Lepisosteus oculatus: one gene and its partners. The protein of the gene in region 3 purifies or fractionates together with the protein of the main gene of each other region. This does not show direct contact. Links are inferred from orthologs where the notes say so. Each region holds a gene or a part of one and is shown on either strand. Other genes may lie near its edges.

Region 1 (3,746 bases), on a different chromosome or scaffold from region 3:
CAGTCTCCCACTACAGAGAGAGGAGACACAGGGTGCGAGTGACCTGCTCAGTCCCCCACTACAGAGAGAGGAGACACAGGGTGCGAGTGACCTGCTCAGTCTCCCACTACAGAGAGAGGAGAGAGGAGAAAAGAGTGGGAGAGGGAGAGAGGGAGAGAGGGGGTGTCCTTACCAGCCTGGGCGCTGTCCAGTTTCAGTCCTTTGCCCTTGTAGCTCAGCTCCCCCTCCACCACCTGGGTCTTGGCCAGAGAGTCGGCCAGCTGGGCAATGTCCTCCGAAGCCATCGGGGTACCTGCAGCAGCACAGCCTTTATCACTGCGCCCCAACAACCAGCACAGCCTTCCACACTGACCCCCTCTTCCACACTGTACCCCAACCACCAGCACAGCCTTCCACACTGACCCCCACTTTCACACTGCGCCCCAACAACCAGCACAGCCTTCCACACTGCACCCCTCTTCCACACTGTACCCCAACAACCAGCACAGCCTTCCACACTGACCCCCTCTTTCACACTGTGCCCCAACCACCAGCACAGCCTTCCACACTGACCCCCACTTTCACACTGTACCCCAACAACCAGCACAGCCTTCCACACTGACCCCCACTTTCACACTGTACCCCAACCACCAGCACAGCCTTCCACACTGACCCCCACTTTCACACTGCACCCCAACCACCAGCACAGCCTTCCACACTGACCCCCTCTTTCACACTGTACCCCAAGACACAGCGGCGCATAGTGACCCCGTCAATACACCCTGAAACTACCCCACCAAGAGCGAGCCTGCCCCTCAGGCCTCAGCCCCCCGGTACCCCACAGCTGCGATGAAGGGCTCCAGAGCGAACAGGTGGCCACCTCCTCCTCCGATACCCCAGCCTCTCCCGCCCCCCCGGGGCCCCGCACTGCACCTCGCACGCTAAAGCGAAGGGGACCCCCCCCCCCCCCAGTACCCCGATAGATGCGTGCAGTTTCAATACTCTGCTCACGACCAGCACAGGAAACCATCACGATGACGACCCGGCCGCCGGTGTTTAAATGTCCCTCAGCCGGTGACAGCGCTCCCCTCCCGCCTCCCCTGCTGCCGGTCTCACCCACCCCCCCCCCCGGCCTCATTCAGATCCTAATTAGTTTAATATATATATAAATAAACAAAAACAAAACCGACGCCGGTGAAAATGTCGGCAGAAAAAGTTTTGACGTTCTCGAGCCTCGGACAATGCACGCGCGCCGGCTCGCCTCCCGCCCGCCCGCTCTCCCGCACGAGCCGCGGCTCGATCCCGGCTCCAAACGGACCCGCCCGCGTCAAGAAACCCGGGGATGCGGGTCCGGCGATTACCGAGAGAGAGAGTCGAGATCGCAGGCGTCCCTCGTCGTCGGGGTTTGAGTTCGAGGGGAAAACGAAAAAGAATCGCTTCCTCTTGCGGCCCGGTCACGCCGCGTCCCGCTCGCTGAGGGAAGCTGAAATGGCGTAGCGCTATTTTGAAACCGGCCTGCCGCTGGGCCCGACGGGAGGTGTAGTTCTAATCCCCTCCGCCTTCGCCGCCACAGCCGCCGGGCACAGAGGAAGACCCCAACTCCCAGGGATCTGTGCGGCAGAGTCATTACCGGGGTGTCGGGGGAGCTTGCTGGGCAGATGCGCGTTAAAAGTGAACATAACATCAAGTGTTATTTTTTTTTTTAATTTGCAGTCCCAGTGAGTCAGTTTTAAGAAGCACATCCTTCAGTTAGCGCTCTGATTATGAGTAAAGCCCTTTATGCATTAAAGGGACATTAACACATGTGACAGAATGAAGTATACCATACTATCCACAATTAAAAAAAATGACTATCCGCAATTTTTAACAACAAAAAAAAGAACATCAGTTATATTATTTCCCCTTCCCTGGACGTTTTCAGGCGAGGAATGCAGTATTTAAACGGGATCAGAGGGGTCAGAAACCCGGAGGCAGACTTTTCTCTCCCCGGGAAACCCGTCTCTCTTTAGGACCCGCGGGCTGAAGCAGCGGGGCCAAACTTGCTGGGAACTGGAAAGAATTGAAAGTGAAATTTCCCACATGTTTCCCCTCCATAGCGCCTGGCCCGGAGCCTGAGCCACTAGCAACAACTTCGGCTATGAAACCGTAGCGGCGCAAAAACACAGGCCAGTAGCCGGAGATACACGAACACATCCCCCACGCTGGAATTCAGCACAACAGGAAGGATAGCAGCCAAAGGCGAGTTGGTGTATTCTGTTGCTTTAGAGAGAGATGCTGCTGAGATGATGATTTAAAGAGCATGCATTAAGGCACAGATGCGGGTGATGTTTCTATCTCTCTCTTTTTTTTTTGGAAGACGCCAGTAAGTTAAAAACAACATCCTTACGCAAAAGTATTCTGATAACGCTGGCCTTCTGCTATCAGGAGAGGAAACCGTACCTGATTATTTTTTTTTTTGCAGGGGCTGGGGGAATGAGTTTGAGTCGTTCACTCCGATGACAGCGGAGTGGAAAAAGAAAACTGTGTTGTTTTTGTTTTCCCTCCCCAAGGATAAGTTGCAGGTATTTTGCGGGCACGACCGGCACCGACTAAATTAAATGAGCGCCGGGAAAGGCGTCGTAATTTGCCTTTTGGGATCATTCATGAAAGTGACGTTGCTGGCCCAGGCGTGTTGAGGTGATGCGGTGAAGTTCGCAGGTACTCGTTTCTTCCCTCAAAAAAAAAAAAACACCTAAAAACGTGTTCAAACCAGTTGCTATCGACTTACCTGTTAATACAACGCGCAAAACGGGGGAGGTGTGCGTAAATTTCAACACTCGCTTCCGTTTGAGCAAAACGGTCTATCGCCGGGCTTTACACGGTGTGCCCACAGTGGATTTAAATCGCTCGCTGTCGGTTTGGTACGGTTTTGTTGGCGACAGGAAGCGCCCGTCTTCCTTGCAGATCGGCACCGCCTGCGTGTCCGACGGGGCTGGCAGGGCTCCCCTCGTCAGCCACTGTGCGCACTCGAGCCCGGGGATGAGAGGTGTTGTGTAGGCCGGAGAGATGGATAAAGTTCAGTTTTCGCAAACGGCTTTCCTTGCGCCCGGTAGACATTTTATATGTGTACCTCTTTCTAGTTGAACCAAATCGCCCCGTGTAGCCTGACGTTGTAACTTTGTTTCTGATTGTTTGTACGAAACTACACAAAAATTTGAAAAGGTTGTGTCGTTGCCTTGGATTTTTCTGGATTTGTATCGGAATGCGGCGAAGTTTTAGCCCTGTTCTACTCGGACAGGCGACGAATTTAAATTCGCGGTATATGAAATTATTTCAGAAAGTTGTTTTTCCTAACTTGATAGCTACCCCACACAACATTTGGGACATATAGCGCCTTTCACGCCCTGCTAAATCGTGTCTTTCACAGCCCGACAGCGGAAATGTAATTAACTTGTCTTCACCGGTAACTGTACAAACAGGCCGTAGAAAAAGAAGAAAGCACATAAACACAGTTATGGGGGACATTCGGCCGGTCTAGTGCGTTTGTTTACGGATCTCATCGGGCTTTTAAGTGAAAGAAGCTGGTGTATCAGCTTTAACAGCATGGCTGGGTAACTTGTTCCACACCTCCACCTCCCTTTGCGTAAAGCGGTGTTTTGTCCCGAGTGAAGCATGTCAAACTGCCGTTTCTTGGAAGAAGCCAGGGTAGTGGCTTCAGCAACATGGCTGAGGGGATTGTTTCCCCCACATTTCCCACAACCCTGCGTGAAATGACATGCCACTTGTGA
Region 2 (3,746 bases), on a different chromosome or scaffold from region 3:
AATTCACTGCCCTTTTCTTCCAAAGGCAAATATACAGAGGAATTCCATTTCATCTAAAATTTTGGATTCACTTTTCTTGTTAGAAACCTTAATAAGGAATTGCCAATTATCATTATTAACTCATCCATGCAGAAGGACTCTCTTATGCACAGGACAGAGATGGTGACTGCATGCACCTTCTGAAACATTCAAGGTAAAGATCAGCAGGCTGTGTCTCATGCCACCTACAGCACAGCTGTCGCCTTGGAGAGGGCCGATGCAGGCAAACACATCTCCAAGCTCACTGTCGTCAGGCAGGATTCAGCTGAAGCACACCCTGAGCAACTCAAACCTGTCCAGCCTTGACAATGGTCCAAGTCCCTATCGCACCCGACACAGCTTTATATTGACATCATACACTTGTCCACAGACACGCTGACATGCACGTGCACTTAAACGGCCTCCCAGCTCTAAGACATGATCGCTCTGCCCTCTTTCCATTTCTCTCTGCACACACACCCTCTCACTCCGTACCTGTGTGAGCGGCGGTCGGTTCAAGGGGCTGATCCCCTTGAGCAGCACAGCATTCCTGCGGGCGGCCAACCCGGTAACAACACCTTGACCCCTCCGGCGGAGAACGGGGGCCACCCCCCTCCGGCCTCGAGCCCCCAGGTATCCCACACCTCCCGGGAGGAAGAGGACAAGAGAGGAAACAGACGAGAAGGAGCGAGAGAGAGAGGAAAAAGAGATGGGGGTGACAGATGTGGCAGAGACAGGAAATAAGGAAGGGAGACAGAAAAATGTTGAGACAACACACGCCAAAGGCATCTTCGACAATCTTCAACAAGGGTATACTGTTTAATGCAACACTGCTAATAGACTTTATTTTATACAGCACCATTAAAAGTGGCTTCTCAAAGTGCTTTGGAGGCATCTCAACAATTACAATGCTTCCCTGCTTATCAGTGCATCAGTACCAGTATGTTCCCTGCGAGTCTATTAACATGTGTGACACGACAGGGTATCAGCATGTAGCTACCTCTCTGCTGCTGACCCCCTGCCCAGGCCGGCCCTCGCCAGCCCTGGGTGAGCCGGCCATTGACACGGGGCCTCCGGGGCCCAGCGCCAGCCCACTGGGTCCTCTGCTCCTTCCTGTTCAGTCGGATGATATCATCTGCGGGGGGTGGGAGGGGAGGATGACAAGGAGAGGAGGAGTGCGAGGTTATAAAGAGTGCCTGAGAGAGGATGGGAAAGAGACATGCATTGCACGCACAGACTGACTGCCCACGCTGCAGACAGACTTTCTAACATCATGGACAAGGTAAATTGACATGTACAGTGAACGTACTATGTGTAGGTATACTGTTCACTATATTCAGACTATGAGAAACGCTGTACTCTGTATAGACCATCACTGTACACTGAAGAAGGAGACTATGCATATATAAACTGCACTCTGTAGAAGACCAGAAAGCTGTACCCAGACAACTCGCACAGACTTTACTATGCAGAAAACTAGACTGAAATGCACGCTGTATGCACACCGCTTAGGGAAACGTGTTGTATGTAGACCCCTCTATAACTATAAGGGCTGGTGAAGGGGTCCCCTACAGATAGGACGTTTTTTCAGACCCTTAGGGTATTAGGCGCTATACAAATGAGGTTTGAATAAATACATAATTGGCCATTTCTGAGTTAATAGAGCCAACATCCTGAGCTTCTCGGTATTGAGCGTTGTTGTTTCTTTCTGTCGTGATCTCTGAACTATTGACTAGAACTCTGAACTGTTCAACAACCCACTTAAAAGTGGTTGAACCGAAACTGGTCGAAGCCCCTGCCAACTGGTGATTTAAGGGTGACCCGTGAAACCTGTCCTATTGGACTGCCACACTACACAACTCACACAAACCGGACAGCCACACACACACCGCTGTTACTGCAAGCTCTTTAACGACAAGCCTCTCGGTGGCTGGAGCTTTCCGTACAGTCCCGAAAGTAGTACCGTTATCCCCATCCCCCCGGTGTTTACCGCAGCGCTGCTGTCTGAGAGCTCTAAACCGGGCTGCCTCCCCACCTGGACTCCCCGGCTCCGTGCGGCCTTACCTAGCGACATGTCAATCTTATCCAGGCCGTCAGAGCCGCCGCTGGTCCCCGGGCCATTCCTCAAGGCAGGGACACCGCCAGACTTGAACCCGATACCGCTCATGTCAGGGCTGTGCCAGGCCTTTGTGTATACGTCTGTATTTTGGACTGGATGGCACAGTGCAGCCTAACCCCCACCTCCTTCTTCTCCCCGTGTCCATTCAGACACGAAACCTGCTCTGCGCAGGCGCGCAGCACACGTCACAGCCAATGACAGGAGACGACAGCTTTCTGAGAGGACAGGCTGTGCTCCCACTGCCAGCGGGGAGAGACAGAGATGCTCCACTGTGATAGATATTCTGGGATTCGACAAACACTCTTCCCTAAATTTATAAATCTAATCCCAGAATTCCCTCACCTGCCAGAATCACAACAACTCCCAATCCTACTGGGAGAGGGAGGAGGGAACTCAGCTGAACTGGCAGCCCAGGACGTGACCTCCTGTCACAGCCTGAGGAACAGTGAGCCTGTCTCCCAGTAATGTTCCATATGTCATGTCATCCACCAAACCTCTTTATACCATGCGGTGTTGGGGGAAGCCAGAGCCTACCCAGCAAGCAACTTGCGCAAGGCAGGGTACACCCTGGACAGGACAGGGCGCCAGTCCATCGCAGGGCGATCATACATGGGGACAATTTGGAGCCACGGTAAAGGCCGAGGGGGGAAATTTGGCCCCCTGGACACCGGGATAACTCCCTACTCTTTCTGAGAAATGCCTGGGGAGTCTTTAATGACCAATGAGAGTCAGGACCTCGGTTTAACGTCTGATCTGAAAGACAGCGCCATTACAGTACAGTGTCCCCGCCACTATACTGCATTAGGACCCCCGCTGGCCCCACTAACACCACTTCCAGCAGCAACCATAGCTTCCCAGGAGGTCTCCCATGCAGGTACTGGCCAGGCTCAACCCTGCTTAGCTTCAGTGGGTAGCCCGTTGAGAGCTGCAGGGTGATATGGCTGCTGGCGACATGTTCCATGTGTTTATATGTAAATAATTTATGATTGTGTGTTCATCCCCTTGTAATGGATAAAAAGGCGTATTGCACGATAGCCTGCGGTGTATGCACATACAACTGCGAAAGGATCCTCGCGTAAAAGGACGTTTCATCAAGCTTTTTTTTTAAATTAAGCCTTTGGTGCGTTAAACATTGCCAACAATGCATTTTTTCTGGTGCGTGTATCTTTTTTTTTTTAAAAAGAGGGTAACAAAATAGTAAATACATTTTGTTAGAATTCCACTATGTTACCAACACCGATGCCTTGTAGGATCTTTGGCCTTTACTGTTTCAGAGTTCATATAGAATTATTTGTGTGAATTGTTGGCCTAATGGGTCTCTATCACTCCTGTTGTCACATCCTTAGCCAGTTTTTTGTACTCACCCATTATGTAATTTGTAAGAAAAGGGGTGCCCTCCTGAAACTACCTTTTTAATTCAATTTAATCCTCTTTTATAAGGGGACTGCACTTCAGTTGTTAATGCTGGCTGAAGAGGTCCCCTATATATAAAATCTTTTGAGATCCTTAAGGACAATAGGCGTTATACCAATACAATGAAGAAGTATTTATAAAATGTATAACCTACAGACAGGAGTCCAAACCACAAATGAAGGGAATATCACTAGCC
Region 3 (3,746 bases):
TCACAGGCTTTAGTTTGCACCTGAGACAGAAAACCTTTCCCGCGCATTGTCACTGTCGTGACCTTTTGGCCCGGTCTTCCACAGGCTCACCCTGCTGGGCTCCAGTGGGCTGCCAGCTGGGAGTTGCAGAGTGATATGGCTGCTGGCCACTTAATTCAATCAATTCAATCAACTGCCCTGATTTATAATAATAATAATAATAATAATAATAATAATTGCTTACACTTATATAGCGCTTTTCTGGACACTCCACTCAAAGCGCTTTACAGGTAATGGGGATCCCCTCCACCACCACCAATGTGTACCCCCACCTGGATGATGGGACGGCAGCCATAGTGCGCCAGAACGCTCACCACACACCAGCTCTCAGTGGGGAGGAGAGCAGAGTGATGTAGCCAATTCATAGAGGCGGATTATTAGGAGGCCATGATTGGTAAGGGCCGATGGGAAATTTGGCCAGGACACCGGGGTTACACCCCTACTCTTTTCGAGAAGAGCCCTGGGATTTTTAATGACCACAGAGAGTCAGGACCTCGGTTTTACGTCTCATCCGAAGGACGGCGCCTCTTTACAGTATAGTGTCCCCGTCACTATACTGGGGCATCAGGACCCACATGGACCGCAGGGTGAGCGCCCCCCGCTGGCCCCACTAACACCTCTTCCAGCAGCAACCTTAGTTTTTCCCAGGAGGTCTCCCATCCAGGTACTGACCAGGCTCACACCTGCTTAGCTTCAGTGGGTTGCCAGTTGTGAGTTGCAGGGTGATATGGCTGCTGGCAATATCAGCAGCTGTTCCTGCATTAAGGCTCTGTATTTTATATAGCGCCTTTCACGACCAGTCCCCTCCGAACCGCGATGGGAGCGGCAGGCTCACCAGGAAGTGGAGGGAAGCTGACGTCATTGGCCCCGCCCAGAACGCGGAGACCCCACCCCACCCCTCGCCTCTCTTCGAAGCGTCCCGCGAGGAGCGGCGTCGCCTCAAACGGACATGCGCAGTATCCCGCACTCCACCTCCAGGGGGCGCCGCTCCGTCGCCCGTGGCCCCGAACCCCCCCCCCCCTCCTTTTCCCCGCCCCCTGTCACGTGACCCCCCCGCCCGGCTGTCTGAAGTTGGCGCGGGAGAGGCTCGCGCCGGGGGGTAACGGTCGCTCTCTGGAGCCCGGAATCACCTTGTTAATCAGCGACCATTATAATAATAAAAAATAAGTAAGTGAATAACGAATTTTAAGAAGTCATTGGCGACGGTGACGACGATGGCGTTCTTTCCCAAGTGGTACGAGGACTTCGCGGTGGTGAGGCGCAGGGACGCGGAGACAGGTACACGCGTGAGGAATGACTTGTGCTCGGTTAGTTTCGGACCTGTATCGCCCCACTCGTGTTTGTCACACACAGATGTGTCTGTCAGAGAGGCCCCCTCCCGAGCCGGGTTCAGAAACGGGGCTCACTCCGTCGCGCTGGCGTGAAACCCTCGGCACCCCCACTCCGCTAACAAACCCCACGATAATTCCTCCCCCGGGCGCCCGGTGGCGATTTGGTTTTGGCCGGGTTGAAGCGGGGACACGCGTGGGCCGTCTCGCTCGTGTCCGAGCGCCCACGTGAAACTGAGCTCCTTGCTACTCGTACGAAACACGTGCATCTAATTAGATAAGGGGTACAGGTCAGATCACACTGGGGGCTCCAGTCCAGTAGGACAGTCTGTTACACTGGGGGCTCCAGTCCAGTAGAAGTGTCTGTTTCACTGGGAGCTCCAGTCCCAGTCCAGTTACACTGGGAGCTCCAGTCCAGTAGAAGTGTCTGTTTCACTGGGAGCTCCAGTCCAGTAGGACAGTCTGTTTCACTGGGAGCTCCAGTCCAGTAGAAGTGTCTGTTTCACTGGGAGCTCCAGTCCCAGTACAGTTCCACTAGTATTGTTGGGCTCCTTGCTCCTGGTGCTGCTGGCGGTCCAGGAAGTGATGGAGTGCTCAGGCTCGGCTCTTGGTTCCTCAGGCAGCGCGGTGTCTGCCCCGGTCCTCCGGACCCCCCGGCCTTGTGGGCTTCCTCTCGGCCAGATCATGCGCCATCCCGGGCTTCCCCTGTGCCTCTGTCACTCGTGTCTTGTCAAATTCCCCGAAGCTGAATCTGCCCAACGCAAGGTTTACTGGTGGCCAGCCAGTGTCAGCTGGCGAAGCTGGAGAGCTCCGCAGTCATGATAGATGGCATCTGATTGCGGACGGACGCCCTGGGTTCTTGTGTGTTTTGTTATCACTGCGCACAGCCCCCCTCGGGTCTGAAAAGTGTTTTATACCTCAGCTACGCGACGCCAGCTCCCTGGAACCCCGCACCCTACCATATAGGGAGCCGGGCGTCCGTCCACACAGGAAGTGCGTCACCGGAAGCTGGCCGCTTGTAGTTCTGCGGGCTCGGGGCGGCGGAGACGTATTGCGCAAGCGCAGTGTTGATCTCCCAGCTTGTGTCGCCAAAGCACAGCGATCGCACTTGTGCGGGTAGAGGAAAGAAGCGCCGATCAGGACGTTTTTACAGTAGCGCGTCGGCTGGATTATTGCATGAGCACAGCAGGGTAGTCTTCTCGGGCCGTGCGAGTCTTCTCGGGAGCGATCGTGGGAGCTTTCTTTCGTGGAGTGCGTGGGGAGCATGGCGATGGCGGACGAGGGCCGGTACTATAGCGGTAAGTGATGGAGCTTCTCCCTGTCCAGCTCAGCCAAAATGGAGACCCGCGTCCTCCAGCTGGGGAGGCGAGGGCAGACTGCGGGCCGCCGAGATCTCAGGAAGGCGCCCTTCGTGACGCGCGGTGCGGGTTTGTTCTCGTCCTTTCGCGGATCGCGGCTCCGGTCCAGTCCGGTGCCGTGACGCGCTTTCAGCGGGAGGGCCAGTGTCGCAGGGCGCCTGTGCGTGCGTCTGTCTTCGTCCCCGTCCTCGCCTCGCAGTCGTGACGCCGACCCCGAGACCAGGAGACGGGCTGGGGAGAGCAGGTCGTTCCCGGGGCAGAGGGGACCCCCGCTCCGGCTGCTGTTCCCCTGTAGCTGCCCGGTGGTCGCACGGACCCCCGGTGGCGCAGAACAGCGGTCAGGCTGAAGTGTCGCCCCAGCCCCTCCGGTCCTGCGCGCTGCCGAGAGGACCCCAGGCTCCCGGCTCGGGATCGCTGCCGACCCCTCTCACCCTGACCGTCCTGTCTTTCCAGTCTCCCATCAGGAAAGATTAGGTCAGGTGGCACCAGGAGCACAAGGCAGACTCTCATTAATCACCTGCGTTGACCACTGGACATTACTTTAACTGTGTTATCAAAATTGAATGTTGATTATTTAGTTTACAGCCATAGTATTATGTGCAATAATAATGTTATCTGTATGTGGGTATTTATTATGGATAGTTTATTTATCATTTACAAGTATATATGTGTGGGATTATCACGTAGGGAGAGTTCTGACACCTTCTTGAAGTGCAATATATATTTTTTCTTTAATTTCTGAAATGTATGTCGTGTTTTATGTGTCTAGTATATGTGGCGTGTTTGTATGTATACAGTGTATGAACAACTCACCAAGTCAAATTCTTTGTAAGTGAACACTTACTTGGCCAATAAAGAGATCTTTTGATTCACCGATACTGTAGCACATCCATTAGTTATCCTGCTCCCAGAATGTGCAGGCGCTCGGGGCTGATCCAGTGACAGTGTATCACAGTGTCCACGGACAGCGCTGTTTCAGAGGGACAGGAGCTGCAGCAGTGTGAAGTCAACAAGCCGAAGG

The links.
Region 1: the proteins of nuclear RNA export factor 1 (region 3) and rangap1b purify together in Homo sapiens (co-immunoprecipitation; 3 studies listed by BioGRID and IntAct, with this or other methods). This does not show direct contact. The link is inferred for Lepisosteus oculatus from reciprocal best matches to the Homo sapiens genes NXF1 and RANGAP1.
Region 2: the proteins of nuclear RNA export factor 1 (region 3) and UAP56-interacting factor purify together in Homo sapiens (affinity purification with western blotting; 3 studies listed by BioGRID and IntAct, with this or other methods). This does not show direct contact. The link is inferred for Lepisosteus oculatus from reciprocal best matches to the Homo sapiens genes NXF1 and FYTTD1.

What each region holds. Positions count from the first base shown.
Region 1 is NC_090707.1:38,120,138-38,123,883, forward strand, and holds the start of rangap1b (ran GTPase-activating protein 1b), read right to left. Parts: upstream 2,769-3,746; 5' UTR 2,747-2,768; exon of another isoform or gene 2,721-2,746; intron 2,677-2,720; exon of another isoform or gene 2,368-2,676; intron 2,342-2,367; coding exon of another isoform or gene 2,295-2,341; exon of another isoform or gene 2,243-2,294; intron 2,218-2,242; exon of another isoform or gene 2,029-2,217; intron 1,508-2,028; exon of another isoform or gene 1,341-1,507; intron 293-1,340; 5' UTR 285-292; coding exon 173-284; intron 1-172. UniProt on the Homo sapiens protein: GTPase activator for RAN. Converts cytoplasmic GTP-bound RAN to GDP-bound RAN, which is essential for RAN-mediated nuclear import and export. Mediates dissociation of cargo from nuclear export complexes containing XPO1, RAN and RANBP2 after nuclear export.
Region 2 is NC_090708.1:16,909,222-16,912,967, forward strand, and holds the start of UAP56-interacting factor, read right to left. Parts: upstream 2,308-3,746; 5' UTR 2,186-2,307; coding exon 2,083-2,185; intron 1,154-2,082; coding exon 1,019-1,153; intron 663-1,018; coding exon 514-662; intron 1-513. UniProt on the Homo sapiens protein: Required for mRNA export from the nucleus to the cytoplasm. Acts as an adapter that uses the DDX39B/UAP56-NFX1 pathway to ensure efficient mRNA export and delivering to the nuclear pore.
Region 3 is NC_090713.1:22,974,364-22,978,109, forward strand, and holds the start of nuclear RNA export factor 1, read left to right. Parts: upstream 1-1,120; 5' UTR 1,121-1,253; coding exon 1,254-1,317; intron 1,318-2,404; exon of another isoform or gene 2,405-2,631; coding exon of another isoform or gene 2,632-2,665; intron 2,666-3,746.